2 linked regions of the Tribolium castaneum genome follow. The protein of the gene in region 1 interacts with the protein of each later gene in a pairwise test. Links are inferred from orthologs where the notes say so. Each region holds a gene or a part of one and is shown on either strand. Other genes may lie near its edges. The genes, in order: unk and heca.

The links.
Region 2: the proteins of unk (region 1) and heca interact in binary tests that used the Drosophila melanogaster proteins (3 or more experiments, as listed by UniProt). The link is inferred for Tribolium castaneum from reciprocal best matches to the Drosophila melanogaster genes unk and heca.

Annotation. Positions count from the first base shown.
Region 1 is NC_087399.1:926,948-943,521, reverse strand, and holds the start of unk (RING finger protein unkempt), read left to right. Parts: upstream 1-10,839; 5' UTR 10,840-11,187; coding exon 11,188-11,246; intron 11,247-11,349; coding exon 11,350-11,559; intron 11,560-11,643; coding exon 11,644-11,930; intron 11,931-13,992; coding exon 13,993-14,128; intron 14,129-14,178; coding exon 14,179-14,381; intron 14,382-14,429; coding exon 14,430-14,542; intron 14,543-14,589; coding exon 14,590-14,854; intron 14,855-14,905; coding exon 14,906-15,816; 3' UTR 15,817-16,574. Other genes in the region: uncharacterized protein LOC659874, read left to right, coding at 192-513, 560-868, 922-1,061, 2,960-3,206, 3,254-4,133, 5,982-6,846, 8,116-8,617. UniProt on the Drosophila melanogaster protein: Essential for late larval/early pupal development.
Region 2 is NC_087397.1:4,549,828-4,565,952, reverse strand, and holds the end of heca (headcase protein), read left to right. Parts: intron 1-7,700; coding exon 7,701-7,889; intron 7,890-7,952; coding exon 7,953-8,138; intron 8,139-8,397; coding exon 8,398-8,571; 3' UTR 8,572-12,834; downstream 12,835-16,125. UniProt on the Drosophila melanogaster protein: Required for imaginal cell differentiation, may be involved in hormonal responsiveness during metamorphosis. Involved in an inhibitory signaling mechanism to determine the number of cells that will form unicellular sprouts in the trachea.

The sequences.
Region 1 (16,574 bases):
TCTAACAATGAAGCGTTACTTGGACTCGATTTTCTGTTTTTTGATTTTTAGCTTATTATGTAATGCAGTTGTTCAAACAATTGTAGAGTTTATGTGTGATTTGAAAAAATAATCTGTGCAAGTTTTACGTCATTCATCCATCTTCACACTTAAACAAAACCAACCAAAAACAATGTTTAAAATCCTTGCAGCGAGTTTGAAGTAGAGTCTTTGAATTTTCCCGGCCAACAACACCGCTGGAAACTGTCCCAGCTCCTGCAGAAAGGCACCGAGAAAAGCCGCGATTCCCTCCTCAATGATCTCGCGCTAGCGCTGCGATTTATTTTTATAACGGCGAAAGGACGCCTCGTCTCGCATTTCTTCAGCGTTTCGGAAGCGATCAAGGCTCTCTTGGCCGGACTTTTGCGCATTATCGACCTCGTCTTCGGCATTCCAAGTTTGCAAGCTCACAATTTAGATGCCAAAATTAGGGAGGAGAGGACCAAGTATCTAGTCGCCGAACTGGTGTGCCGGGTAAATCCGCATTTATATTTCTCCTGAATTTCATTGGCTGTTCCAGCCCGAAAATGAGGAATCTCTGGAACACCTGTGTTCCTACATCCGTAAGCAGCTGCGTCGGGCCGCCACCGAAAAATTCGAAGTGACAAAGGAGTGTTCGCAGCCGCCTGTCGCTGTTCCCTACCGATTTTTGACTCCCTCGGGATCTGAGCTGGACTTGAGGCTCTGGGAGAGGAGTCTGATGAGGCGTGCCTTGCCCACGTTGGTTGCTATTTTGGAAAGGGAGACGCGAGGCTGGTTTTTACATTTTAGAGAAAGACTGATTGCTGAGTTGCGAGCTCAAAAAATGCCCGATGAAGATATAGAAAGGGTATTTTTTTATTGTTCAAAGTGCGTAATAAAACGGTAAATTTTTGATTTCAGGAAGTGAACGATGCTGTTATGAAGGAATATTTGCAGAGGGTTTATAACAGCATTTTGTCGCATCCCGATATTTTAAGTTTAGGCGAAGGGATTGCTCAACTTTTAGTACAACAGGCCCAAAGCGTTGTTTTAATGCACAGGTGGGTTTTTTGGCTTATTTTTGAAAATTTAAAATTAAAAAAATGTTTTTTTTTGAGTTTTGACCCAATTTTTTAGCTCGGTTTATTTGGCAAAAAATTCAAAAACGTGTTTAACGTTTAAAAAAAGTAGGAATAACGCCTTTTTCGACCAAATTTTGGCATTTTCCAGCTCATTCTTGACGAAATTTTGCATATTTTAAATGAACTAATGACTGAAAAAAAATCAAATTACTATAAATTTCGATCATATTTGGTGATTTTTCAGCCAATTTTGACGATTTTTTTTGAGAGAAAAAACTTAAGGAAGGCTTTAACCACTCGAAAAAAATTACAGTTGATTTCGTTTATTTTTCGGTTTGGTTTGAAGAATTAACATTTCTGTTTCAGGCTGAAAAACGTTAACTCGCAAAAAAACGCAAAATGATAGATTTTTGATTTGATTTTAATTTTTGATTCCATTTTATTTAATTGTTTATTTAATTAAACATGATTTTCGACCAAAAGTTGTGTTTTTTCGACTTATCTTTAGGCAATTTCACGAAAATAACACCAATTTTCATTTATTTTGTAATTTTTATGTAAGTGCAGACAAATTCTTACAAAATAAACCAATTTAGACCTAAAAAAAAGATAAGATAACATCAATTTCGACCAAATTCGGTGTTTCTTTTATCTACATTCTGGTAAATTTTTCAAAAATAAATAGTTTTCACTTCGACAAGACCCAAAAAAGGCTAAATTTACACCTATTTTGCTATAATTGGCTGCCTTTTCGGTCTGTTTTTAACTAAATTTTGCGAAATAATTGTATATCTGGTTGAAAAACGTGTTCAAAAAAGCAAAAATAAGACTATTTTGGTGTTAAATTCGTGAAAATTTTGAGACATAATTCACGTATCAACGCGTTTGCAAAAGAATTTTTTGAATATCTTGAAAACTAAAAGGTATTTCGAAAAAAAAATACTTGGAAAATGATCAAATTTTTAAAGTATTTGATGATGTACTAGATAATTTTTTCGTAAGATACATAGTTTAGGCACAAAACGCTTGGTTCCATACTTTTGCCTGTGTATAATAACTTCAAACACGTGTTACTTATTTCTTGAAAATTATAAAAATAACACATTTTTCGCTCAAATTTTACAGTTTTTCCGGTTTTTCGGCTTATTGTTAAAAAAATTTCGCTCAGAAAAGAGCTAAATCGAGTGAAACAAATCAAATAATAAAGCTTTGACATGAACTTGCAAAATAAAGTTCAAGATTTTTCAGCCAATGTTAGCGAAATTTATCGAAAAAGTTTAGTTTTGGCTTCGAAAAATATGCTTAAACTCTTTAAAAAACAAAATTAATACCATAATAATAATTAAACAACTAAAAAATGTGTTGAAAACACTAGAAAAACAAGAATTATGTTGTGTTAGACTTAAGTTTGTGCTTTTTCGATATTCACTAGGAAAACCCCGTAAAACAACAAGAAATTTCTTGTTAAAAAACGAGGCAAACGGTGCGACATAAGCTAAATTAAATAAATTCCGATTCAGCTTTATGTATTCATAAGAAATTTTTGGGAAATAAATAGGTTTATTTACTGTTTTTTGACTGGAATTAAGGACTAAAGTAGCGAAATTTCTTTTTGTGTTATGGGCTATTTTATTTATTCGTCATTTTGGTCTTCAATTCCAATCAAAAAAACAAATAAAAAGTTATGGACGAAATTATATAAATAATTATTAATTAGGTTTCTAGCTGGAAAATGTGCTAAGACTCGAAAAAAAAAACAAGAATTATGAATTAATTTTTTCGGCCTTTAACACAATTGTACGAATTTTTTGTTCAAAACCAAGTCTAATTTTATTGTCTCGTATTTTTTCCTCGCACAATTGTCTATTTTGTACCAGGGCCGTCGAGAACGTTCAACACCGTCTTTCAAAATCTCAGGAAGAAATCAAAACCCGCCTCTGCACCAGCCACCCTGTCCTCTCCCGCATCGAGCCTTGGCTGCGTTCGCGCCTCCGTTCCGCCGAACTGAAATTCAGTCAAGAGAACCAATGGAGCGCCCACGAGGAAGCCCTCACTTTATGCAACGCGAAACGCCTCCACCAGACGGTTTACTTCCTCAACCGTGACCTCGCATTCATGAGAGAAGTCAGTTAACAACCCCACCCAAAACCACCCTAAACTCTCATTTCCAGAGAGAACCTGCCCTTTTACGCGAACTGCGCAAAGTCAAAACCCCGACACGTTCGTTCCTCTGGCCGACCCAAATCTGGCTCCCGACCAATTGGATTGTGCGAAGAAACTTCCAAGGCCAATCAGAAGTCGTCCCGACTGTCCTCAGCAAACAAGCGACTAGCATCACGACGCCTAGGTCCGACCCCAGCCAACCCGTCTTCCTGGTGGAGAAGGAGATCGTCCGGACGACCACCACCAGGTGGCCGCTCTGGCGCATTTTCAATTACTTCCACCGGACGTGGTGTTGGACTTGGAACGCGATGTTTTTCTTCGGGATCGTGTTGCCGTGGTGTAGTCCTGTGGGACTCCGGGCGCTTTTCAGTCTCGAGCCCTTTATGCCCGACCTGGAGCTGTCCCAAGTCAATGGGACGCTCTTCCCGCGTAAAAGCAGTCTCACGGAGACGTTGTGCTCGCGTCTGATTAGCCTCTGGAGGCACATTTCCAAGTCCAGGACGCACTTTGAGACTAAACCTGATACGGGGTTCATTGGGAAAGGCTTCACGCGGCATTTGAACCGAATTTGGAACTATTTTTTCAAGGGATTGTTCGGGACGATTGTCCTAGTTGTGATTTTTCCCGTGGTGTGTGTCGCTGTGATCGCAGCGAGTGTTTTTATTGCCTTGACGGCGGTGGTGTGGATGCCTGTTTTTACATTGGCGGTGCAAATAATCAATGCGTTGATTTATGATCTGGACTGTCCGGAACAGAAGAGGAACCGATTTTTCGTACTGTTGGAAGCACTGGTTTGGAAGATTGGGCTTCAAGGGTGCGTGCAACCGATTGTTGCACTTTTTGTGGCCGCGGTTGTGTGCCCCATTATTGCGTTGGTGATTTTGACAGGTGATTGCTTTCACGCATTAACTGATAACGCGAAATTCAGACACGAAACGAGATGTTTTTTAAATAACGGTGAAGAAAAACAATAAAAAAATACAGGAGATAAAGAATTAAATTCTCAATATGAGTAAGAAGATAAAAATCATGCAATTATTTTAGATACAAGAAAAATGTTGCAAAAAATATTGTAGATAATTAAATTTCCTACATTGCGTAAGTTTTCATTTTTATATTGGTTGTATTTAAATAACAGTTAACACAAAAAATAAAAAGAGGTAAAAGTAATAATGCAAAAATTATGACGTAAACTATACTATAAAAAATTGAAATTTTTACTTTTAAAAAATTTAATTGTAATTTATGTATTCTTGTATTCTTGAATATACAATGTATTCAAAAATGGTTGTTTATCAAGTCACCTATGAAATTTGAACGTGTGTCGCTTGATTTAAATCGTGCCGTCACAAACTTAGGTAACATTTACCTAAGCTGTTGGCACTTATCTGTCATAGTTTTTGACATATGTCAATTTTTTGTTAGAATTTTTATTTGCATGGGTTTATTTAAAATATCTCAGCCCCCTTTACGATAAATGAATAATATGTTTAGAGTTCTAAAAAGTGTCAACTGTCAAAACTTAAGGCTACTATGATTTTTTCAAAATGTCATCAAAAAGGGATTATTCATTTTCAAAATAATTTTTCTGAACTCAAAATCGTCGATACGGATCGTAATTTTACAGCTGTAGCTATATTACAAGTAAAAAGTTTCTTAAAGGACTAAAAGATTCTAAATAAAATAAGTCAGGTCAGGTCAGGCTAAATAAAATTAAAAAAAAATTATTAAACTCAAAAAATACACAAATAAATCTGTAGTATATTAACGTGTTTAAGACAGACATTTGCTATTTTTTTTTCAATTCATTTAAATATTCTTTAATTCAAAATAATGTTATCTTTTGGTTTACGTTTACGTTTTAAATTCTGTTACACTTTTACGTTTATGTTCTTTTTCTTATATTTCTCGATAATCACTTACGCTTACAATTAGGGCCTTTATGTACTCACCTTTTACTACTACTTTCTTATTTCTGCCGGTTTTTAACCGTATCTGTCTTTACGTTTACGTCTATTTTGTGTAATTTCTTATTTACGTTTTCATCATGTTATACTTGTTTCTACTTTTTTTTATTGAAAAATTGTCAGACCTGATCCGGGCTTGAACCCCCGACTTCCCGCGTCGAAAGTGGCGCTTTTACCACTGGACCACCAGGCCCTAGCTACTGACCGTCTTTTACAGATATTTTAACATAATTTTTTTACTTAAATCAAAATTATTACAAACTATAAATGCTTCAATTTGCCTAAAACGCATATATTTTGCACAAATCAGTTCAAAAATCGTCAAATTCGGTCGAAAAAAAACATTTTGTACACTTTTTTTCAATTTGATACTCAGTTTTTCACAAAATTTCATCAAAAATCGCCAAATTAAGGTGCAGAAGGCAGTGTTTTAGAATTTTCCAAACGTGTAAGTTGACTTTTCAGTTCGAAAATATCAAATTTGGAGAAATTCTAAATCAAAAAACCTCAATTTCGACATTGTTTTTACCCTTTTTGTGACTTTCTACACACTTTTAGATCAGAAAATGAAAATTATTGCCGAATTTCATCTTAAATCTCCCAAAAATCACCAAATTTATAAAAAAAAAAAAATAGCCAAACTATCGTCAAAAATATTTTTGGGTACAATTTTGCATCTCGTTTCGTCTCCTAGTACATAGTTCTCCGTGCGCTCATTACGAAACCGTTTTGCGTGTCGTAATATAAAGCTTGCAATTTTTTCCCCAAGGTGGCATTGCTCGCTACTGGCTGCGCCTCTTCTGGGACACGACCCTCTTCCACTTAATAATCAAAAAACGTGGCCGTATCCCAGCCAGTGACAGTTTCGTTGTGAAACGCATCGCAGGACCGGGCCTAGCCTCCGACTACTACTTCCAAATCAGTCCAGAGCAGGCCCTTGCCGCTTTCGAGGCCAAAATGGAATGGGACGAACTGTCCGCATACCAAACCGTCGTCGAAAACACAATCACACAACCACAGCGTGACTTTAGCCACTTTATCGAAGCGTGTTTCGGTGGCTTTTCGGCACAGTTGGCCAAAAACGGCCCTTATAAAAATCTCGAAAAGGAAGCCCAAGACCTGATGACGGTCCTGCACGAGAAACTCGAACGGAGACGACGTGACTTACAAACCGGTCTCAGTGTCACCGTTAAAAGTAAAATTAAATTGGAGACGTCCGAATTGAAAATTGCTATTCAACAAGGGGCGCTGATGCTTGAGAGGTTTTATCCAACGCATATTTTACCGAAATTGGGGTGCAGTGAGGACCAGTTTTGGGATAATCGGGCTTTGAGTCCCGGGGATTGGGCGGGATTGGCTGGTTTGTTGTATTCGGAACTTTTCAGTTTGGATATTTTAACGCCGTTGGATCATACGGATACGAGTTTTCGGCTGGATCCGCATCCGCAAGCTGATTTGTCTAGGTATACGGAGATGGTGCAGTGTGCACAGTTGGGGGCTCGGGGGCCCGATCTGTTGGGGAATGTTTACACGCCAAGGGGGAATATTCAAGTGCATTCCCCCTATTTGGAAGTGTCGGCGTTTAATCCCAGATCTAAGCTCGCCACGACGGTGAAAAAGTGCGAGAAGAAGACGTAAGTTTAATCAAGACAAGAGGTACAGCAGAACCTCTATCCGTGTTTTTTTTTTAATTTTTCTTTAGTCATGATTAAATGAATCGAATAATTTTCTCATAATATGCAAAAAAACCGACAAATGTAGTAGTTTTAACAATCTCAGAAATTAGAAAAACCTATGAAGTGAAATGTTTTTCTTCTAATGTGGATTTTTTGCTTATTTTTAGTCTTTTGTTGTGGTTATTAAAGGAAAGATTATTGTAAGGTCATGTAAAATACGCGTACTTGCAAAATTTATTGTTAATTATTTATAAATTATTAATTAAAACAGATATTGTCGTATTGTCACAGAGATTACGTATGTATGCAAAATTTCAGTTCGTTCGGATAACAGGAACCCTCTCAAAATCAGACAACAAAGTTAGCTTTTTAAAAACAATTTTGTAAATTTCCGTAAGGAATTCTCTTGCAAAGGTGCAACTTTTCAATTTTAATTTTTTTCCACACTAAAATAAATATCAAAAATTTGAAATTTTTGAGTTTTCTGTCAAATTTGTGGTTTTGGAGTTAGGTGAAGTTATGCCGTTAAATAAATGAAGTAACTGTCTCAAATCTCTTTGATGGTTTATTTATCACGGTAAATGTATATTTTTATATTATATTATATTTATATATTTATTTTATATATATATATATATATATATATATATATATATATATATATATATATATATATATATAATATATATATTTATATTATATTATATTTTTATAGTATATTTTTAAATATCATACGGTGCGTTCAAAAAATCTTTAGATCAGCTCTTGCTGTGGAATTTAGATTGACTGTCTTTGATAGATTGTCCATTTATTCTGTTGAAGTGTCAAACGCGATCACAGCAAGAGTTGATCTAAAGACTTTTAGAATGCACTGTATAACATAAATAATTTACGAAGTAAAAAATTTGTTGAAAAATTAAAACTTTTCTATAAAATTCGTTTCTATAAAAACTAACAACAAAAAATTGGGAATCTGCTTTAACAGAAAAAAAAACGACAACAATGAAGCATCAAATAAATTATGTCATAGATAAAGATTGCATATAAATTAGATAAGCAATAAAAACACACTTAACCAAAAAAAAATTTCAATTGTATTTTTTTCGTATTCGATTCAAAGTTAAACTAATAATCATTTCATTTATCGGGCTTGGTTTTCCCCATGATAATGAGATTCTGCTGTGACGTTTTTTATTATTTGTACAAAAAATTAATTGGGGGTTTCAGGGAGTCGTTGACGATGTTGGGTTCGATCAAGAGTGGCACAGTTTGGACGCCTTGGAAGAAGCACTCACGGCCGTTTTCGCCCGATAAAATGGTCATTCCTTTGCCCGTTCCGCACCCCGCACACATTGCCGTTACGATTTTTAACCGCGATTCAGACGATCCCATTCCCTTGGAATCCGACATTTGTCAGAGTATTTTACGCGGTATTGAAGAGAGTCACATTTCGCTTGAGGAGTCATCCGGTGGTATAAATAGGTATAAAGGCGGGGGCGACTCGTTTGAGACAAGCTCGAGTTCGGAAACGCTCGACAGCCCCCATAACGGTCTCCAATCGAACCGCAATTCCAGCGACGGTGTCTACCAGTGGACGTTAAACAACTGGGGTCAGCGCAAACGTAATAATTCAGGTAGTGTTAAGGTCGACTTGGCCAGTCCCGAGGACGTTACTTTAGACAGTGACAGTACTCGGGTGGTTTTCAGTACGTACGGTACGACCGTTTGAGTCATTTCCTTGTGATTTTCCAATTTGATTGGTTAATTTTTAAGTTTCCGTGTGATATTTTAGTTACGATAACAAGCATCACTGTGGCATTTTTCATATCAATAATAATCGAGTGTAGTACAAGGGCGTAAAAGTATAATGGTTTCGTTGAGAATTATGAATAAATGCAGGAATTTAAATCTAGGATAAGGGCAAATATTTAGCTAGTAATGCACGTAGTTATTAAATTTTTTATTTGAGAAATTGTCCATTGCACTAGAATTTGTATAGTCGGATCGATTTAGAGGCAAATTAGGGGTTCGAAACAACAGCATAGCAATAATTTGCTGATAATTAAATGTTTTCGTTGAGTTACTACATACTTGTCCATATTTCACAAATGGTAGCTTATGACGTTCAAACGAATTTTCCACTTAGCATTAGAGCGGACCGTTTTAACTACTCGACATTGTTTTTTATTACTATTGTTTGACCTTTTATTTATCGTGTACCTGTCAATTACACAAATACTCTCTGTACTCGATATTATTTTCGTGACGTTTTTCTATGTGTATAAATTTGTATTTTTTTCCATGTCTAATTGTACAATTTTTATTGCTTGTTGCTTGTGTTAATTGTATTATATTTATAAAGCTGACATTTTGCTACGTTTTGTGTTTACTCAGAAATATAAAGCTTTAAGACTGGACTGGCCCCATTTTTTTATCCCTTTCAACCCAACCACAAAACCAAGAAAAAAAATAAAAAGAGGTTTCCAACGATAAGCTTCTCAAACCGTTCCAGAGTTATTGTACGATAAATGTTCAGGAAATCGGCCAAAATTTCGGCAAAAATCGGAAAAATCTGATGTTTTTTTGCACTTTTAACAACTCGAGAGAGTTCTAAAGAGAGAAAAGTCCATAAAACCTCCCTACAGTCAGTTTGCAAAAAAAAATGATTTTTTTTGAAAGCACACTTGACCATGCATTTTTTTACATAAAAGTCTTTAGAAATAAATTAATGTTTCTTTACAAAAACTGTTCAAATGTTTAGAATTTCCAAAGAAAAAGAAGTTATGATGTGCAATTACCTGAGGTTAAGTGTGATTGCCGCTTCAAAAGTTCGCCACTTTAAACGACCAAAAAAACTAACACTAACCGAAAATCATTCACAAAACGATTAACAACACTTCAGCATTAAAGCAAAATAGTTCGAATTCGAAGACAACCACGAAAAATTAGGACGCGCACGACCCCGCCAAACGTGCCAGAACTACCAACGTAAAAACCACGCAACATCCCTACATTTCAGGGCACCCTTGACCATGCATTTTTTTTTAATAAAAGTTTTTACGAGTAAATGAATGGTACGCACTTAAAAGAAATACCACATAACTATCAATTTTCCTTTACAAAAACTGTTTAACTGTTTACACTTTCCAAAGAAAAAGAAATTATCATGTGCAATTACCTGAGGTTAAGTGTGATTGTCACCACTTCAAACGACCATAAAACTAACACTAACCGAAAATCATTCACAAAACGATTAACAACACTTCGAAAACGGCATTAAAGCAAAATAGTTCGAATTCGAACACAACCACGAAAAATTAGGACGCGCACGACGGCGCCAAACGTGCCAGAACTACCAACGTAAAAAACCACGCAACATGCCTAAATTTCAGTGCACCCTTGACATGCATTTTTTTTAATAAAAGTCTTTACGAGTAAATTAATGGTACGCACTTACAAGTAATACCACATAACTGTCAACTTTCCTTTACAAAAACTGTTCAAGTGTTTAATCTTTTCTAAGAAAAAGAAATTATGCTGTGCAATTACCTAAGGTTAAGTGTGATTGTCGCCAGTTCAAACGACCATAAAACTAACACTCACCGGAAAATCATTCACAAAACGATTAACAACACTGCGATAACGGCATTAAAGCAAAATAATTCGAATTTGAACACAACCACGAAAAATTAGGACGCGCATGACGCCAACGAAGGTGCCAAAACTACCAACGTAAAAAACACGCAACAAACATCCCCAAATTTTAATGTTTTTGGGGCATTTAAACAAATAAATAATTGCTTATAATTGCAAGTTTTAATGAAAAAAGCACGGCAAAGGTACAGATTAGAGTATTGACACAGTTTAAGCCACAATTAAGAGTAGAGGAAATTAATTAATTAAATGCACAATTTAATGACCAAAAATAAACTCAATGCTTGTTGAGATAGGCCTTTATCCCCAGTTATTAACCTTCACAACTCAACCGTGACCGGCAATAGTGAAGCAATAAATAAAATTCGTCAATTACGCACCAAAAGCACGTCTTGTCCCAGTTTCGCGGGGGCGTGCCCCTCCCACCTGCCACATGCACCTCACCCCAAAGAAACCCATCAAACCCCCATAAAGCACCCAACAGGCATGGTTCCTCCCAAAATCAGGTGCTTTCCAAATTGACCAAAACACAAATGTCCTTGAAGATGGTAAAATTGGTGGGCACGTGACCGCAAGCGGGCGCCGCCATTGGCCCGTTATGAGCGTGCCCTGCGCGAAACCACCGCGCATCTTAGTGATTACAAAATGCCGTCAGAGTCTAAACCTTTGTTGACAGCTCAGACGGAAAAGCCAAATCATTACTCGTAAGTGTATTTATAGTGGCGTGTGTGCCGTCGCGACGCCTCCGCCGACGCCCCACGCCCCCTTTTCCCGCATTTCCGCCGCCCAACCGCCGCCTTTTTCCAGGTATTTGAAGGAGTTCCGAGTCGAGCAATGCCCGCTCTTCTTGCAACACAAATGCACGCAGCATCGTCCATTCACCTGTTTTCACTGGCATTTCATGAACCAGCGGCGTAGACGGCCCGTGCGGCGCCGGGACGGCACCTTCAACTACTCCGCTGACAACTACTGCACTAAATACGACGAAACAACGGGCATTTGCCCCGATGGCGACGAGTGAGTACACCTTTTTTGGTTAGCTGTCACACGTTGTGGGTGTGACAGGAGCGCGCTTGATCAAAACAACAACAAACGTTCCAGGTGCCCCTTTCTGCACCGGACGGCCGGGGACACCGAACGCCGCTACCATTTGCGCTACTACAAGACGTGCATGTGCGTGCACGACACCGACTCCCGGGGCTATTGCGTAAAAAATGGGCTGCATTGCGCGTTCGCGCACGGGAGCCACGACCACAGGCCCCCAGTTTACGATATTAAGGAGATCCAGGCGCTGGAGGCGGCCGAGGCCGAGGGCAGCGGCTCGGCCAATGGCCCCAATGCGCTGGACAAGGAGCGGAACTTGATGAATGAGGATCCCAAGTGGCAAGGTAATTGACTAGGACAACAAGTTTGTTTGTGGGGTTCGGGATTATGGCGAGAGCGGTTGCCAAATGTGCGATTGCATCATTTTGTTGTGTTGGCGCAAGGAATTGTGTTTACGGGAATTGGGGCAATTTAGTGAAGGTAATAACTAGAGATAAAAATTATCTCGAGAGATATTTATACGTGAACTTTATTATGTTGTTTGCCGATTGAAAGGTCAGATTGCTTTCAATTGTATTCAAAGCGGTGCGAGATTGTGGATTAAAAATGCATTTTTTATTGTTATTATGCACAGAAAGTTGCGTGACTCATTTTGGCGCCAAACGATGAATTATTTATTCCGTTTCCATAGTTTATTGCTTTTTTTTAACTAAATTAATTTAAGAATTCTAATATTTTTTGACTTGTAAATAAAATAAAAGTTTATTGGTTTTTCGAATATTTAAATTTAAAAAAATTCAAACTAGTTCCAGACATTTAAAAAAATTCAAACGATTTTTTTGCCGATAAAAATGCATTTTTTTTATTTATGAACAGAAAGTAGTGCTTGAGTAACTAATTTTGGGAGAAAAAAATATTTTTTATTTCATTATACAGGGTGAGTCTGCTGAAAGGTATGTTTTTTACGACTTTGTTTCAAAACTAGAAAAAATAGCCCTAGCAAGCGCATTTTCATTGTTTGGGGTCAAATAGGTCGCAGATTAACATCTTTTGTGTTAAATTGAATTCTAGTAACAAATTTAGTGCCAAAACCAATTGTGAAAAGTGACAGATGTTTCTATTGTTTTGAAATAGACATTATAATAAAACGAATAATCACATTAAAAACAACGTTTGGCTTCAGATACTTTATATTTTTCTCAATACGGGTGATTTTTTTCAGAATTTTTCTACAATTCCTAATAACAAATAAATATTAATTAAAAAAATAACATAAAAAATATTGAAAAAAGTGACCTTTGTTTGCAGATTTTTTGCACAAAACTACAATTAAGCATAGAATGTTCTAAAAATGACATAAGAAATATTAAGATTCGGTAGTGACTTTATTAATTAATTAATTTTAAGGAATTGTAGAAATATTCTTAAAAAAATCACATGTTTAGAGAAATATAACATGGGTATTTTGTATTTTATTTTATTTATTGTTTATGATATTAATATTTAGATTATCGAAACCTTTCATTAAATGCTAGAATTATTATCTCCTAAAAATGTGTACAACTAATTCCAATTCCAAAAAAATTCTTTCAAAACTCCAATAAATCCAACTTAATTCCCGTTAAATTTCCTTAATTCCAAAATATGGTAGTCGTTTCCAAAAATAATCTCGGATAATTTCGAAAATAATTCTAGCAATTCCAGAAAGATTGCAGTAATTCCATAGATTCCAATTATTTTAATAATTCTGATTGAATTTCTAAAATTTCGATTCCACAATTTTTTATGGAAATTAAAGTAATTCCTATAATTTGTGGATTAATTCAAATAATTACAAATTATTTTCTGTAACTTAAGAAAAATTTAGGTAATCCTATGAATTCCAAGCCTTGAAATTAAATAAATTGACAGCACTGAAGAGAATCCTATATTTCGGAATTCTTAATCTGCAATATAATGTGTTGGTTTTTTTTATTTAATTCTTGTTATAAGGCACAAGAAAATTAAATCGCACCTCAATAATTATGTAATAATATCAATAAACAGGTAATTGCCTTTAACAAAAAATATCTCCTGTCTTAATTACCGGTTTGTCGGATGGATTTTTACAAAAACTCAACGTGTAACTGATAATAAAGAAGAAAAACAAAGGGAATGGTTAACAATAATCGTGAAAAGATTTTATTTAGTTTGTTTCCAAAACCTATCCAATATAAAATCGCCTCTCTGCTATTAATAAACGTTGTAATAGTGGTCGCTGTTGTGTTTATGTGTTTGAAAAAATGTTATCTACTATTATTTCGAATGCGGTTACAATGTCAAGGTTAACGTTAATTAATTGAGCTCTAATCTTACACTACAATTCCAATAAAAATCGTTTGTACAAGTCGGTTTTTTTTCTTCTAGATACAAATTACGTACTATCAAATTACAAAACGGAACCTTGTAAAAGGCCCCCACGTTTATGTAGACAAGGATACGCCTGTCCCCAATATCACAATAGCAAAGACAAGCGAAGAAGTCCTCGGAAATTTAAATATCGGTAAGTGGCAAACAATTCACCAAAGAAAAAAAAATTAAACGCATCCTCAGATCAACACCATGCCCTAATGTAAAACATGGAGAGGAATGGGGCGAGCCTGGAAATTGTGACTCTGGCGATTTATGTTCCTACTGTCACACACGAACCGAACAACAGTTTCATCCAGAAATTTACAAAAGCACCAAATGTAATGATGTACAACAGTCGGGGTATTGCCCACGGGGGGTGTTTTGCGCATTTGCTCACGTTGAACGTAAGTGGGGATTTTATTTTTTTAAATTTTGGTAATGTTGCATTGTAGAGGAAATGGGGGTTTCGAGGGACACGGGGGAAAGTGGTACAAATTTTGCCGAGATATTATCAAATGCTCTTCCGCCTAGTTTAGATAAGAAAGAAAAAAGCAGCGATAGCTCCGTAAGTCGTCTCGTTTGATTTTTTGCAAAACTAATTTGTTTTTGTAGAATGGTAGCAGCGAAGTTAGCGAGTCAGCATCGACGTCATCATTAGGTTCAAATAGTTCGCATAGTAAAGCTCCCGGTTCACAATTAGCCCACAAGTCGCTACCTTTTAACCGGTCTCTGCCACTTGGCGTAGAATTAAACAACAAATTACTAGCAATTGAGAAAGATCCAAGTTTGGACGTTTTAGAACGTGAAAAAATGAAGCAATCGCTACGGTTTCCCTTCGGTGGCGGTTTCTTCGGCTCGACTAACGACACAGTAGTCGGTAAGTCAGAACACTGTAAAATTCCCTCGAACGCTATTGGTCGAATTCAAGGTAACGCATTGGACGAGCTAACTCTCGACGATTCGCTGAATCTATCAGGCCTTGAGCGTGATTTAGAATCCGAATCGCCAACAGTCACAAATTCAATATCGGTCGGTTTAGCATCGTCTGGCCTTTTGGGCAGTTCCGCCCCTGTAAACATTCCAGGATCGGCTCGTTCCGGCTTGGGCGGCTTCAGCCCAACCAGCAATAGCCCCTTACAAATCCACGGTGGTTTTTTATCAACTCGTTTCTCCCAATCCGACATGGACTTTTTAAATCATTCGCAAATTCAGCTCAGTAGTAGTGCATCAAAAATCAACTCCTATCAGAACTTCTTCGACTTTCCGCAAAGTATTTCGCCAACGTCACGCAACCACAACAACTTCAGTATGTCGCCGAGTGTCAACAGCAACATGGAGGTGGCTTTGTTACGCGAGGAATTACATTCGGCTAAAATGCAGCTAAGCAGCTGGGAGGAACGCCTACAACAGGCCCGGACTGCGTGCGATTTGTGGAAGCAAGCGTCCGAAGAAGCGAATCGTAAGAGTCACCTGACCGAGACGAAATTGAACGAAACTGTAACGCAACTCAACGAGACTGTGGCACAGTTGAGTAGTTTGAAGCAGGAGTTTGAGAAATTGCAAGGGGGGCCTCATATCCGAAGCATAACGAACGTGGCCGAGTTGAGTAAGTTGTCGTTAAGTGTGTTGAAAAATCTGCACGCGCAATTGAAACAAGACTTGGAGGAGATTGAGAAGGTTTTATATCGCGAGACTGCCTCGAAATGTATGGTTTGTGAGGAGCGCAATCGGACTGTAACGTTAAATTGCAATCATTTCGTTCTGTGTAGTAGTTGTGCCCTAACGCAGAGTGAATGTCCCTACTGTCAGACACCGTTCAATTTGAGTAATAACATGTGAAAGAGAGATGATTAGGTATTTAACAAATTTCTAATGTCATGGACAACTTACATCATGGCGGGGCGCTAACTACGGAGATCGAAAGGTTAGGATGCGAAGCGACGAAGAAATAAAACGGTACCGAGTGAGCTAGTTGCGTTATTGTCGCCAGAGGGCGTCTAAGTGAGTTTGGATAACGCTTAACACAGCAAAGAAAAAAATACAGACAGATAAAGCATTAAGTATTCAATAGTAAGAAGTTTTATCGGAAAATATAAAAAGCAGGCCTAAAAATGACATTAACTAGGTCGAAAATCTTGGGATTTTTGTCTTTTTCCAGTGTTTTAATAAGTTTTTAAGCGGTAAAGTTAGTTTTTGTTAAGATTTCACTTAAACACGGCTCAAAATTAGCTCATAAACGACTTTGTTTATATAATTTTTAAACGATTTTTTAAGTTTTGGGCTACAATATGTGTTTTTTCGTAAAGTCAGAGCCAAATCGTTAAACGATTAGCTCAAAAATGAATTATTATTATTACTGTTTAGACAAATTAAGCATATATTTAAGCAATGTTTGCTAAAAAGTAACAGAAAAATTCGAAATTTTAGTAATTTTTGTCTTATCCCAGCATTTGTGACAAATTTTTCAACAGAAATTTTATCAATTTGTCAATGGGAATATTAAAAAAAAAACTTCCGAAAAAACAAAATTAATTATTTTTGACCAAAGCTTTGCTTTGCCAAAATCTTGCGAAAACCGGCGTTTATGAAGTCATAAA
Region 2 (16,125 bases), on another chromosome or scaffold:
TGCAGTTACTAAAAACGGTGTGATGTTGGCAATGGAACGAGGTTCGACGACCGCGTTTATGTGCCGATGCAACACTGCAGCTGTGATGAAATACCGGACTTTTATGTTTTGGGTGTTGCCAAAAATTGTAAATTCGAACAGACCGAATTCATTCCAGAAATCACGTAATCAGCTTTCATTGGCCATTAAATTGGAATCGGCGATAAAGGCAGCTGTCTAGGCATTTTTAATTAAAGGAAATAGAGTCGATTCTGATCTTGATCTCGAGATGTAACACTCATTATTCAGAAATCCTGCTTTCGCCTCAAAATGAATTAACACACGCCCACCGTGTCCCGCGTTGGACATTTTTCAGGAAGTGCTATTATTTAAATTAGCAAAGTGGAGTTACGAGATAATTATAACTTCCAACATTAGTGGCTTGCAGCGAGGGGTCATTTACCAAGAATGTGGTGTTTTTGTGTCTTTTTAAACACAGAATGGGCTATTTTGAATTTCCTGGTTTGTGTTGCTTTTGGACGCATCTAGGCGAAAACACAGCTTTCAACTCTGAAACGATTTTTGCCAAGGTTTTGAATTTAAATTGCGTGTGGTCATGTTACAAAAATCTTAATTTACAAAATCGAACACCAGGATCACGTACATTTTCCGAATAATTTTGTGCAGGTAGCGTCTATTTCTGTCGGGTGGTGCAGTCTTGCACACGTGTCGTTCAGTGCGACCCAAATTTACCATTGCACCATCAGCGGTCCAAATAATAACAAAACTTTTCAGTGTTGCAACTTGTCGAGAGAAATGTCATCAATCATCCGAGACCGCTTCAAAATTTCAAAATGATCGAGCCGCAAGAACTCACTACGGCGCCTACATAATTAATCTTGGGGTTTGACCCCAAATAAACGCTTCCATTAAAGACATTTGCTGCATCTACCTTTATCAAATATCAAGGATGTTCGTTATTAATGATCGACTTTCCGTATTGCGCAACAGCGTGATAAATGTCGCGTTTTTATCTTCGAGATCACCAATGTCCTCCTTGAAAATCCGAAAATCCGCAGCAAAGACCTCGTATATCACAGCTCTTTAAACTGCTGTTTGAACTGGAACCTAAACCGGGGCTGCTTAGGCCCATCAATCGAGCTTATGGAATCACCCTGAGGACATGTTTGTGTTACCCTTTCGAGGACTAAGATTTAGTGCAACTCGACACGAGCTTTAATCGCGTGTCCACGCAAGCGTTATTTCATTTCGCGATATTAAACTTGCGCCGGCTTTTTTATTAATTCCGAGGTAAAAAATGACGATGTTTGCTTATAACTCCGGGACGGAACAATGAGCGAGTCGTGGATTCCGTTATGATCGGCACAATCGAAATATTAAATCGTCGACGATTTCGATATAAACAAGATTTTCAATCCTCTTATTAAAGCTCATTGCTCGGGGCGAGGGTTTTATTTGAAAGCGTCGTGTGCATGAGTGTGACATGTTCATAATTGTTGGTCTGCTACTTGGACAATTTTCAAAGAGCGAAAAATGTTAACTTAATGAAAATAAAAATAAAATAGCTTTTATTCAACAAAATCAAGATTGAACGATTGAAAAAGCGTACATGTTGCATATGTTGGCCAAAAGTGTATCAGCGCGGGATCAAATGGCGTGTTTATACGTACATTGCAATCGACTGACTAGACGATAGTTATCTAAATTCAACTTTTAATTAAAAGTTTAACTCCTCTCTCTGGCAATCATCTTAATTCTCAGTAGTATTCTGTGCACGCGAAGGTCATTGAAGCTCCAGCAATTATACTGTTAACAGGAGAAATTTTGGACGATTTCCAAAGCAGAGATATAACTCCCGGTGTATTAAACTCGAGATGCATTCGAATTATAATTTTCGTTCGGGTCTCATTAAGTCGCCTAAGATCGCTGTAGTTTACGGCAGACTTTACGACCAGAAGCGCGGAGTTTAATTCATTAATTTTTCGCCTTTGGTACGTTAGTCGCGTGCAAGTCTCCGAAATTGACTTTTCAATAAAGAAATAACTTTGGAGATTTAAGAATGAGTTACGTATGGTAACAGTTTCGGCATAGATCAAAGGGAGGAACAACAACGATAAGGCATAAATAAAAGATGCAAAGCGAAAGCTGGCGTGCTCTCGAGACATTTATAGAACTCATCTTAGGTCGGATATTACAAAACGTGGAACTTTTCTTATTGAAAAGTCTCGAAATCTACTTCATAATTTTCGTCTGATGTTGAGTAAATACCACCTCGAGAAATATCGGGCGTTATCCAGGCCTCGCCGATAAGACAGGAATTGACTCCGGATATAGAAATACTGACAATCGGAAATTCCTACGTCTAGGTTGGCGAGTGGAGCGAGCGTCAGCGCCCGGATTAATTGAAAGATATGAAATGTAGGGAAATTCAGCGTTTGGTCACAGCCTGGAACGCGGATTTCCTCTACTTTTGCTCGAGTTGTAACTCACGAAAGGGGAATCATATTGAGACGTCGTAACTTTCGAGGATCAGACGGTCTTACTAGAATACAATCGGAGATTTATGTCGCTCTAGTTTAAACATAAATTGCGCTGTTTTGTCCGCGTTCTCCCAAAAGACTATGAAAACTAAATAGAAAGCCCGAGATTTGTGAAGCACATGAGGGCTTTTTATGCCGGTTATTTGGGGATGTTTTGGCGGAGTTGACTTGTAGACCCGACTTAATTGAGTGACGTGAGTCGATTGCAGCGTCAGACGACCTAATCGATTTAGGATCGTGGATTGCCAATTACCTGTGCTGTCACTCGAAACAGACAGCAACACAGAACAGGCTCCTCATTCTGACACCAGAGCCGACTGTTGCACTCAACCCTTCCTGCATGAGGTACACCACGAAATCCATTAACTCTGCGATGGCTCAACGTCCTCTCTCAAAGCAAATAATTTGAGCCAACTATAATTACAGCTTTTTGCCTTTCTTTGGCCACCCAAAATCCGATAAATTTTAATTAATTGGTGCTTCTTGCGGTTCCGATGGTCAGTAAAAGTTGGCGGATCTAAATTTAAAATTACCGACACAACAATGGAGGAAACAAACAAAATAAAGTGGAGTGGCCGCATAAAACTTAGACTCTCAGTTTTATGCGAATGTTTAACATTTCACCGGCAGTTTGGTCGAGAATTACTTTTTGAAACTGCCGCATAGAAAGGATATATTGAAATTCGGTCGTTCTAAGGCTTATGTCGTAAAGCATGGCGATATAAGCGTTCCTTCGATTCGACAGTGTAAACTTTCTCACACCAAAGCCACTTTTTACCCGATTAATTCCCATGCTGGGTGTTTCAACGTCGTAAAAGCAACACGGATGGGCGTAAATTGTCGTCGGCGACGAGAAGTGCTCTAGCTGTAAGGGCCAGGTGTAACGGAAATAAAACATCGCGACGACCATGAAAAATGCATTTCAGAAAGAACGCCTTTATAGACATGAGAAGAAACGGAGCTTCGCAGGGAGTACGAAATAAAATCCGATAATAAAGCTCGAGAGGATTGCGAGAGATGATCATGAAGTTTCACGATGATCTGTTCAGATGCTCGTTAAAAAGAAAAGATGATTAGTGCTACCAATTAATAACGAATCTTATGTAACTAAACAAACCAAGGAAGTCCATTAAGATCTGTATTTACATTTTCATTTGCTTTTCAATTTATAACTTTCCAAGCGTCATAATTAACTCTTCAAACGAATAATACCGCTTACACACACAAGCCTGAACAGCCGAGAAGCACGAAATTTACAGCGTATCTACAATTTATTTCCTTACACCACGGCAAAAACTAAACACGTATAGCTCTATTTACGGGCGTTGTAATCGTGCGGGAGCGAGATATTTGTAATTGTCTCATAAGGGTCGGAGTCGAATCGATGGAAAAAGTCCGGGCTGGGGCATTAAAAGCGAAGTTTTGTTGACATGAACCACTTCCATCAAGGAAACATACAACAGTCGTGTCGTCCAGACAGGACCAATGAAAGAAAAAGTGTTGAACAACAGGAAACCAGTGAACGGAAGAGTGATTGACAATAGCGAGTCTTTCTTCCACCCGCCACGATTTGTCATTTCCCATCAAATTGAATCGGGAAACAGTGCGACTTGAAATCAATAACAAAATTGAATTGATGAGCGACGCAAAAACAATCAATCGACCAATTAAGCAACTTTTTCCAAAGAGCACTCTGCCATTCATTACGAAACTTTGGGATATTAATTGGACGTCGATTTTATCAAGCGAATTCGTCGAATTTGCAAATCCCTCTTTAACTTTTTTCACTTAATAATTAATTTCAATCTGAAAGTTTTTCGACGGTGGCGGTTTGCTAATCTGCGTCGGGGTGTTTTCGCACGGAGCTTTCGCCGTGAAATTATTTCCGCGTTGAAAAACTACATCGTCAAAGCTCCCGTGAAATAAAATACATTATAACAAAAATAATTTTCCGTGTCGCTGATAACAAGAAGAGAAAATCCCAAAATCTAAAACGGAAAGATCTGATTTCGGCTTAATTTTGCGAGGTGGTGACTTGTGAACGACTGGATTAAACTAAGCCGCTTAAAAAAGATCGCACGGGAACGGCGCAAAGATCCACCCTTGCGACGCCTAAAGAGGGCCACGAAACAAAACAAATATTTTTTAAAACACAAAATGTACTCTTGTCTTCCAAAAACTTAATTGGCGCAGTCAGTAGGTGACACCTTTGTTGCAGTTCCGCAACTTAAAAAATAAATCTAGATTTCAATTACGCAAACACTTTTCGGGCAGGCGGTATTAGTTGGAAAAGTTTATATTTACATGTTCTTTCAACGGGCTTAAGAGCCACTAAAAGTGTTTGCATAAATAATTAATGTGGATTAAAAGATTTGGCCATAAATTTTCGCCTCCACAGTTTCAATAAGCGATTAATCCTCTTGTTAATATTAGATTTTGGCTTGTGTTGTGGCATCGTGTCGTTGGAAAAACATGTAGACGCATCCGATTTTGCATCGAGAATGACGCCAATGTTTCATAATAACAAATCGCGTAAAATTTGTCAGACGGCGGAAGGTCGTTCTATGACAACGTCGCTAACATTTAGAAGCGTGGCCCATGCATTGGTTGGTGCATAGAAGTAGGCGTCCAATGCATTTAAAATTAGATGTCCTTGTATTCGTTATTAGCATCCCGGTACAGTCGTTGTCCTATTGCAGGTCATGGCAGGTCACGGCGTTGCATGTGCTCAATGTATATAATTAATCACCTCGACGTCAATGCGACGTCCATATAACGTCGTCAGAAGAACAATGCATCCCTCATTCTCGAGCATAAACCACCGGTTAACGAACCTGCGACTACTAATCGCACGAAAAATCGCCCATTTGGGTCGAAGACTTTGATAAAAAAAAAGTCGCAATTATCAGTTTCCTGGATAGACGAGCATCCGTTTTCGGGCATTTTTCCGATAAAATATCACGTGTCGGACGACATTCCGGTGATCTCTGCGAAACCGGTATTCCAGAGGTAATAATAACGAAAAACGAGCTTGCAACTTTGCAATACATCGACTATTAATTTTCGCAACGGTCCATGTAATTCGGTGAGGACGGCGACGGTGATTTAGGAGCTGCCACTGGAACAACGTGGGTTCAAATCTCGCCGATATGGTGGCAGTGAAATATGGTGCGGCCAGGATAACAAGGAAAAATTCCTGATAAAATCCATCGAATCGCAGCGTAATTGTTAACAGTCGTGTTGCAAGAGGAAAGTCTGGCTTTTGACGGGAACACGCCTCTCTTTTGACTTGATGATGAGGTGAATAAGGAGCGCCCCGGAATCCCATACTGACGCACGTCCTTTTAGAGACGATTGATCGCTAAATAACAGATGTCTATCTGGAACAAACTGCACAGATTTCACTTGCCATATTCGTAGCGAGCTGTAAATTAAACTTGCAACTATAATTGCGACCACTGTTTCTGGATCGCGACTGCATCGACTCGATTCGTTTGATTTGTGCCAGGACAGTGACTTCCGTGACTAGATTTATTACACCTAGTATATATTTGATTCAACATACCTGATTTTTTTCATTCTGACCCGTGTACTATAATATATCTTCGTGGACAGTTTCAATTAAGCACCGTAAGACTTGCTTGCCATCGATTAACTAGATTAAAGCACGAAAGAATGCCACATTTTTGCAACAACTGACTTACTTACGGCTTCCAAGGGACGCCTGACTTAAGAACTTCATCTATAACCATGCGGAAATGTGAACGAAGCGCGTTGGATGAAATATTTATGTTCTATACTCGAGCTATTTAAATTTCCCTGCCACACACACCTCGACGAATATGTATTTGACACAAAAGACAACTTTCAAAATCTCAATTTTTTTTTAAACTCCAATCATCGTGTAAACTAAGAAGATTGTATTTTTAAACTTTTTTTTTTAATTATTAAAAAAATAATTGCTGTGCTGATCAGCGATCTCCAATGACTCACTATAATATTACATTGAACTTTTAACATATTACGTAATATAATTGGGGGGTATAATCGTAATCAACTTTTTTGGATCGATTTTCAACATATTACCTGTGGCAAAATGTCTAATATATAAATTGAGGCACGCGATACGAGCGAGCCCTCCGGTAAAATTAAGTTTAGCCAATAATTTTTTGCGCGTTTATATTGTTCGTCGGTTGATTATTATAGTATGTGGTTTCCTTATAATGCGGGTATACACCCTGTATAATTCGTCGATGATTTTGTCAGCTCGAGTATTAAATTTTTGGCTTTGTGGAAGTTCATCCGGCGAAAGCCACTAACCATAAATTTCGTTCGAATAACAATTCAGGGTGTCATCGTGCAAGAAGACAAACCGCTCCCTGTTTTTGACTGTCCGGCAGAAAGTTGCAAAAGTGCGGTTTATGGGACCGTGGAGCTCGTTATAAACTCGAAAACTCGCCGACCAACTTCATTACATTTGCACAGCAGGAGCCGAGATGACCATAATAGAAAAGCGAAATTGACTAAATAACAACGTGCGAGTGAAACGAAACTTCCTCATGTAGAAATATTTAATGGTTTTGAAAAGTCTCGTCACTCACGCGTTGACAAGTTAACCACCGATTTTTTCCATGACATAAACTCATCCGCAAATCCTCGAGCTTGCATATTCGGAAATGATTAAAGTATCAGAAGTTGATGCTCGAGCTGGGCGATTTTTTGTTTCCAATTTTTTGCATTGTCAGATTAACGTGTCCGCCGCTGCTGGTATTAGGTTCATGCAAGATGACTGCTGGAGATTGTCTTAAGAGGCGCTTCGCAAGGATCCACTTTACTTCGCGCTTGGATAAAATTGAAATATGACTCGAATTATTAAAGTTACATTACGCTTAAGCGCCGCTTCGCTTTATTATCTATCACAGAAACTATATCAGACACATATTTAGCTGTTAGTCTTATTAAAATCTTGTACAAGCAGGCCCCTCGCTTCCAGTTTGCGGAGAGCCCGAGGATCGCTGTTTGTCGAGTGTGGTTATTGCGTCCGGTCTCACCACCTTATTAAACCTCGTCCGGATATTATCCCTCAGCGTCCCCAATCGGAAAATGATCAAAGCCCTTATCTCCCCACGTGAACTGAAAACATCGTGTTTTCTTTTCCAGACGGAAGACGAGGGCAACCACGGAAACGATGACACTCGTTGCTTCATCTTGTCAACTCTTGCATCTCAGGGTCGCTCCAAAGTGCACTGTGTCCTCTGCGAAGAGACGATGCCAGTTTTCGATAGGTATCCTCTAGTCGATGGCACATTTTTCCTAAGTCCGCGCCAGCATGCCAAAGGCTGCATCGAAGTAAGTTACAGAGGTCAAAGCACGGCTATTATGTAATTCATTTTTTCTTTCTGTCTCCTGCAGGTGAAAGTAGAGGGACGCACCCAGTTCTTGACAGCAGTCTGCATGGCCTGCCTTGAAGGCGTAAACGGACGCGCGATTATCTGCAGGTTCTGCAACCAGAGATGGGACGGATCCTCTCTCGTTCTGGGTACCATGTACTCCTACGATATCTTCGCTGCCATGCCGTGCTGCACCGAGCGCATCAAGGTAACAAATCACAAGAAATCGAAAACATCTCAACAATTAAGCCGACCACAAATTATTGCCCGTCTTATCAGGAATTGTTTTTGTTAACATTTTGTTAACAATTCAATAAAAATTCGTTATCTGTATGTAACTTTGTCGCGACTTCTTTTATAAACATCAGAGGATCAATATCAACAATATTGGACCTATTTATCGATTTCTAGCGAAGTGTTGTTCTGCAGATTGTGCAGGAATTGAGGTGAGGTTGGTTTTGTTGCAGTGCAACGCGTGCTACAAGCCAGTGCTGCACCCCGCCCAGCGCCTGAACTTCTTCAGCGACTACAGCCACATAGTGCCGTGTCCGCATTGCCACACGTTCGACACGCACTTCGTCAAGCCTTTGGCGTACTGCTACGCCCGCCAGCCGCTGCGGTCGCTGCAGATGTGGCCATAGCCCGCGGCCCCCGCCTCGCTCGCGAAGGCGCCGCCGACGCCGCCGTCGCCGCCCCCAGACCTCATGGACCTGGATCTGGGGCTGCTGTGGCGCGAGCTGGCCGGCTTGCGTCTCGACGAGTTCTGCCGTCTGCAACTCACCAGAGCGCGGTAGACGGACTTAGATTTCTTTGTTATGTTGTTGCATTTTATGTCGCATTTATTTTTGGGGGGCGCTTTCCTTCTGGAAACGGCCCTCAGACATATTCGCGTGTAAAACCGTTATGTTATTAGTTTATTATTAATTATATGTTTGTTAGGTTTTAGTGAATTTATATTCAACTTAAGTCTTTTTATCAAAGGAATGACATTGTGATCATAGTTATCTTAATTTCTAGCTCGAATTCAGTTGACGCTAAAGCAGGTCTTGTTGAACTGACAGTGAGTGAAGTTTGAAAGCAATCCCGTTTGAGTTTTTTTTTGTCTAATTGATTTGAGTTTTGTTTTTTTTTTATTATTTTTTATTTGAAGTTTAGGTTAAAGTTATGTAGAGGCAACTGTGTTGGTTACGTTTACACGGATCGTAACGATCGCTTTATTACTTAATAACTGTAATACATAATACTATAGTAATAAAACTGATATAATTGCTGTGTCCCAATAATTAGTGATAGGTGTGAAAGGTGCGGGACCATGGAATGGGTCTCGCGTGCGTGTCCCGTTATCGTCGTTGTTGTTGTGATGGGTTCAGGGACAGTCGGTCTCCCTGCGAGTAGCACACTGCCACTTCATCCCGCTGCTGCACCCGTAGCCTTCCAGAAACGGACGTACAAAGAACTCAGCCGCTCAGATTATCCGCGAATACCTCTTTAGACTTGATGGTGATTATGATGAAGATGGCGGACCTAGGAAATTGCTTCAAGTACAAACCGTTCGTTACTTTTGCAAATTTTATATAAATGATAACAATATAATCGATTGTTGAGGGTAAAATAATTCCTATCTCCGTTTAGCCAAAGCTTAAGTCCAGCAGGTGGTGAATTTTTCTCCTACCAATTCTCACACTCATCCAATTATTCCTACTCTGGCTAAAACTTTCCAGTGGACAACCTCTTTACAAATATACAATTTTCGCCACTAACTGATCAAGCCTGTCCATGTTAGCTGACTGGGAGAGCCAGTACCAGAAAAATGCACTACCTCCTGGACTTTTATGTTGTTTTTTGAAAGTACTACACATCGACCGACTAGATATGTTGCGCGAGTGCGAGCGAGCTTCTGTAACGTATTGCGAGCGTAGCAGTAGTCCCTTAGCGTAGTGGTAACTGCATGCCCCCACTCTAAACCACCCCTAAACCGCTTCTTGTTATCGAGGCCTAACTCACGGTCTAACTTTTCTACGTGTAATAAGAATCCTTGAATGTTGTCGTTTTTTGGACAAAAACTGTACATAAACGTGTTCGAATTCGGAATCCATTAAGTTTTTCAAATTGGTATTATATGTCGATTAATCGTAAGTCTAGCTCGTAGTCGTTTTTTACAATAAAATACGAATTAATAAGTAGGTGTAGTCGTTGAAGAGGCGCGGGCACCCCCAGCTGGTGCGAGGACCAATCGGTGGCTGCCAGAGCTCGACCATTCGTCCTTTTTTCTCCTGATCAAGACGAGACATTAATAAGTCGGCGGCGGTCCGGCGTCCTCTCTGTCCGCGCGCGGCTCGGCTTCAAAACCACCATTTAGCGCCATTTCGTGTCGTGTAACTCCGACATAATTTCTTCCGACTGCCGTGAAACTGGGAAGCCTCCCGTTGGGGAGGACTACGGTTTCACGGTGGACGGAGCAGATTATGCAGATGTATAACAGTCGCGCCGAGCCGTGCGTTTCACTCCGATAAGGCTGTCCATGCACAATATTATTACACGAAGGCGCAATCAGGGTAAGGGTCGTACCGTAGAGCACCACTATATAGTGTATTTTTAGCGTAGCTTGGCTGCAAGTAGATAATGACATGTATCCGTGTGTGTTTCGCTTAGCTAGCTGTCTTTAATCCAAGAACCAGCAACCATGAGGGTATCATTCGGCGCTTTCCAACCACTCGTTGGTTGGAAAGCGCAATCCGCTAGTCGCGGTCCATTCTTTCATTAATTGGCGTACTAATAATTGTGATTTTGTACACAGAAATTTCATATTTTTGTGATGATATATTTTTATACGATCGGCTGTTTTCTAGACTTAAGTGGAACCGATACAAGTTATTTTTCGAGACGAGTTGGCATTAATGTTGTAACCGGTTCCGTGTGATCACGATCAATGATCGATTCGAAGTGATAAAAATTTGTATATAAAAAACGAAAATTCTTAAAAACACTAATTTTTTATACGTAAATTTTTGCATCTTGTAGCGAGGTAAGGTAGGTGTAGTTTCCATCTCTCATGGTTGCGTGGGCTCCCTTGCTTTTGCGTTCGGGGCCGCCCCATTTAGGCTGCCACTCCATCCCTGCATTTTCTTTTCGCAAACATTACACCTTTCTTTCGCCCACGCCGCACCACCGATAGAGAAGCAAATCGAAAAAATGTGCAGGCATTATGTCCAGGATCAATGTATTAAAAAATAAAGCAGCAAAAACTGATCAAATACCTCGCCTATAAAAATCTATCAAAATTAGGATTTCTGAATTTCCTTGAGCTGGTGCAGTTACAATTGAAACTTGGCGGGCATATTTCTCAATGTATCATCTCTTGGCCAACAAAAGTTGAAATCGCAGTGTCAATACATTCCGTAGATACGAGTTTGAGAAGTCTGTTTTAATTTTTTAGCCACCCTGTACAGCAGTTAGTGTATGTCGCGGTTTGCTGCGCTGCTCTCTATCTTGTGGTGTGGTCAGAATGCGCAAAGTCCGTTTCGTTGTTGTGTGTAGTTGATTTTTCACCGTACGAACTCCGGAGTGAAATTTGGAACATTCGGCCGAAAGATTGACCATTTTAGTTGAATAATCGCTCATAATCCTTAGGCAATATATCCCATTTAAACAAGTGTTTATAGTACTTTTAGTTTAACGTTTTATACAAAATGAATGTTAGTGCTAGTGAATTTCGTTGTCCGGTTTTTTGTCATAGTTGAATAAAGCGTCAGATCGTCGGAGTGTCGCTTTGGGGCGGTTTCTTTTCTCCTATTAAAGTACAAATTTGGTACACACAACATATTAACAAATGGTAACCATGTTTGGTGTCGTAGTTGTGTGAGGGCCGTCTTGCGAGGCGGCCGGTATAGAGTAGCCGCTAGGATGCTCCCTCGCTGTTTTCAATTACACATATTATTACTATTGGGAAGTGTTGCGCGTTGAGAAGGTAGTTTATGTATGTTTATAGCGTACTGTAGTAGGGGCCGGACGGGGTGGCAGAGGGCGAAGCGGGCGCTCTGCATTGCCGCCCCTTGTGCTAGATAGGGCCGGCACTACTTTAGCAGAGCGCGGCACCAGCCACTTGTTATCGAAGAGTTTCGACTCGAGACAGTTACAAATCAACCGGTGATTACTGAATGAGTACAAATGCTGCCGCCCCGACCCGTGCCGGTTTATTATCATTATTATTATTATTGATGATGTATTCTTCAGAGTTTAGCATGAGCAATATCAGCAGAGGTTTTATTAAGTAATTTTTTTACCGCCACGGCCGGATTTCGACTCGTCGAGGTCCGGCCTCGGGCATTTGGGAAAGGTTACGTTTTGCGGGCGGCGGGCGTGGCGTTCGCGGAGCGTTCCTGGATAGAGATAGCAACATGTGCCATACCTGAGGGGATTTCAATGCCAAAAATTGAACGCTGCGCCAACGCCAACGCCCGACCCCGTCTCAGCAAATTACACACAATAAAAATGAGTATGTATTTATTCACACTACTAGAGTACCTATGTCGCTGGAGAAGCATGCAATTTGTCAGGATCTTTCAGTATATTGTAAATTATCTATTTGTAACATTAGGCTAACAATAAATTGGTGCTTGGAAGGACGTTGTGAGGTCTGCGAGTGGCTTAAGCTTTAGAATGTACAAAAATTATTTATTTGACCCAAACGAAGTTTAGTTGAATTTCTAAAATTCGAACCCTTTTATTCGTGGGGCTCACGATGAACGTCCGAGCATAAGTCGAAATGTTTTTTATATGCGTGAAAAATTTGATATCAATATAATATATGACATAAAAATGATCGAGCTTTTGACGGCTTTTTATATGTAATACAATGGGATTACAAATTTTTAAAACGTAATAAATATAACCATTGTCTAAAACCGCCTCTCATTTCGCCACCCAACCCAAACGCTCCCGAAACTTGAACAAGTGCCGGATATCTTCGAGCAATTCGCTCTCACCACCAAAGCAACGACTGTCATTCCGAAATTTGCAAGTGTTAAACTTTGCCACCGCGCAACAACTTCCAGTGGCTTAAATCGGTGTGTGTTGTGATTAAGTTTGATGTATGAGCCGTCTCAAACTTATCTTCGTTCGTGATTACACCGTGAAGTTCGCCGAACCGGCGATAATGCGGTAAAGATACTATTTACTATGCCATTCATGTGCATCGTGGCCACTCTGCATACAGGACCTTCCTCGTTTGTCACCGCTGCTTGGTCGTCGAGTCACGAGATCACAATCCCTGGACGCTCCCTTCGGGATTCGCAAGATTGACAAAGGAGAGCATTGTCTTTCAGCAGCTTAGCGTGCTCGAATTTCTCGCCCCAAATCGGTTTTCGAAAACTGTAAACTGTTCTAGCTTAAGGCGAAGCTGTAGAACGTCTGCTGTGGTCAACTAATTAACTTGGCTATTCGGTTTCTTGACGCACAACTCGTGAAATTAATTTCATTCAGTCAGAATGGAACCAATCACGGATCCAGACGTGCACACCTTGTCCGGATTTATTGTGCGTATTGTGACTGCAACGCTCATAATTATCGAATGTTTAACAGAGCGTTTGTAATTCGATAAAGGGGGAACGTTCGTTATCGGAATTGCACACGCAGGATATTTGAAACTTGCAAATTTCATTCAGGGTGAACCGATAATTTCCACAGTCAAATTGCAATCGTGGAAACTGTCTCAGGAGTGGCGATAATTTCCAGACAAATTGTCTTGTTGTCAAACGGGACGGCATGTGACGTATTTTTGTTTAACATCTCCATAATTCTGATTTCATAATCCCGTCCCAAACTTGTTTAATATTCATTGCCTGTGGAATTCATCCGAATCACGTTCCGAATGCATTTACAGTTTGTCACTGCTTCAAATTTATCTCCCGATAAATAAATTACTTTAACTTCGACAAGTAAAAAGCAAATCTTGTTGCGATTACAGCGTCACATTAAATTGGCCAATCTTGATACTACTGTGTTTTGAATCGTTCCGGGATTATACAAAGTGTTGTTAAACCAAGTTTTCAAGACGATGCTTTTTTACGAAATCTCGTATGCGAACGGTATGTCCGTTGTGCTCGTTAGGATTCCCAATTTTGGTATGCAGGACGCAAGAGGGACGCCAATCTGTCAGGGAGCTCCCTGTCTTTGAATAACTTAACGGATTCTTATCGCCACCCCGAACAGAACGGTTTCTCCTGAAGTTATTTTTGAAAGCACCTAATATTCATTTAATTAAGAGCGGTTCAATATTACTTGTATGAAGTGGTTTTTTGATGCAGATTAACGCTCTAGACCGACAAGGAAATTCATTTTCAGTTCGCCATCAGCATCACTTTTTGTTAACAACACAATGTCGGCAACAATATCACAACCAAAAACTTTTGCATAATATTATCACAAATTAGAGACGTAATAATTCCTTTGTGCGCAGACTAATAAAATGAACAGCAAAAAATAAAAGAGGCGAACTCAAACGCGTGATGGAATAAAAGATAATTGTTTGTACCCCGCTTCGAGACTGAAATATACGAGTGTTCTGAGTTTATTTTTTCAGAAAAAATGTTTGTCAACAGTATTTTAACTCCCTTTTATATGACTTTCTCAGTTCTTTTCAAATAATAATAAAGTTCTGATACTTCGTGTTACGTAATCACCTCAACTATCTGAGACAAATACTAGAATTCTAGGTCAAGTAGTTGGCAGGTCCTAAAGCAGGAAGGAATGGTTGAAATGAATTTTTGTCGTTTCTATAAGTAGCCTCAATAATGTTAATTAGTGTAGATGCACTTAATAATTTCAATTCAGTTATTTTACCTAACGCAAACATTGTATGAACGAAGTTTTTTGTTTTTGCCAGATTCTTTGCTTTTCTCTGGATTCATCATTTAATTGAAGAGCCACTTTATGAAAGCTTTGATTTCGGTATTAATGGTCAAAAAGTTTTGAACAAACATTTTGCAAAAACATTAATCAAAGAGTTCGGTACAAAATAACAAGCAACAAGGATTAACACAAAAAATGAAGTAATTTTTTTCGGGACATTTGTTCGATTATTAACTTTCTAAAGTGAAAAAATTCAGTCCATTATTAAAACTGAATACCATTTTTTTAAACCACCTAAAGCGATTTTGCGTTTTTAATTTTTTCAGTTTAATTATTTTCCGGATTCGATTAATGCGCAATTCTCTTCAAGGATAATTTTTGAAGTGAATTGAGAGTAAACACGGAGGCAGAACAAATATCATGTACAAAGTGGAAATTTGATTGCACAGAATCCGGATCTAGTTAATCCGGTTTATTGTTAAACGTATCAAATAGTTTGGTAGCCATTGTTTAGTTGATTGTCCGTGTGAGGTTCCTTATTGCGGCTGGCCAATATAACAGGCAGTCCAGCATTCCCAAGTCCAAGTCTGCGGTCGGACAGGGTAAGCCCTAACGCCTGGCAAAGCTGCGGCGTCAGGCTAAATTACTAAACAATGCATAAGTTACTTTTGAATAATTCGATTTGGTTCACATGACATCAGCTCGCTGAAACGATCCTGAAACGGGTAACTTTGGCCAAAATTACGTGACTATCAGCTAGTTTTAATTAAATCGGTCTACAATTTCATTACACAACAATTCTGGTGGAGGCGCCGGGCCCAAAGTGTTTTTTCGCATTTTGACATGTATTTAATTAAACTTGGTTTACTGAAATATTTAAATTACGTCCGTATAATATTGTGAGATTTTTTACTGTTTTTCACTCCAGACGACGACTCACGTTTACGCTTAATATTTTAAAATTTCGAGCACTACATTATAAGTTAAATTAACTTCTCTACACGGTGTAGTCTGGCCGCGATGTAAAAATAAAATTCAATACTTCACGTCGTTGCATTGCTTCCTTTGAGCAAAAATGGATTCATAAAGTTGGTGAAATGTATACGGCGAACGCCACCTAAGGTTAACAAATATTTTGTATTCTGTACACAGACTCGTCAGACGGTTCTCATTTCTACGTGTTTTAATTAATTTTTGTCTGCATTGGTTCGTCTGGGTTTTAATCTCTGCTAGCGTTAACAATTCGAAATTTATGAATATTTGCGTTCGGATTAAACTTTACCGATGGAATAAAATGCGAGATGATTGCTGCCTCCGATTCATTGCGACAAGCGACGCTTTTTACA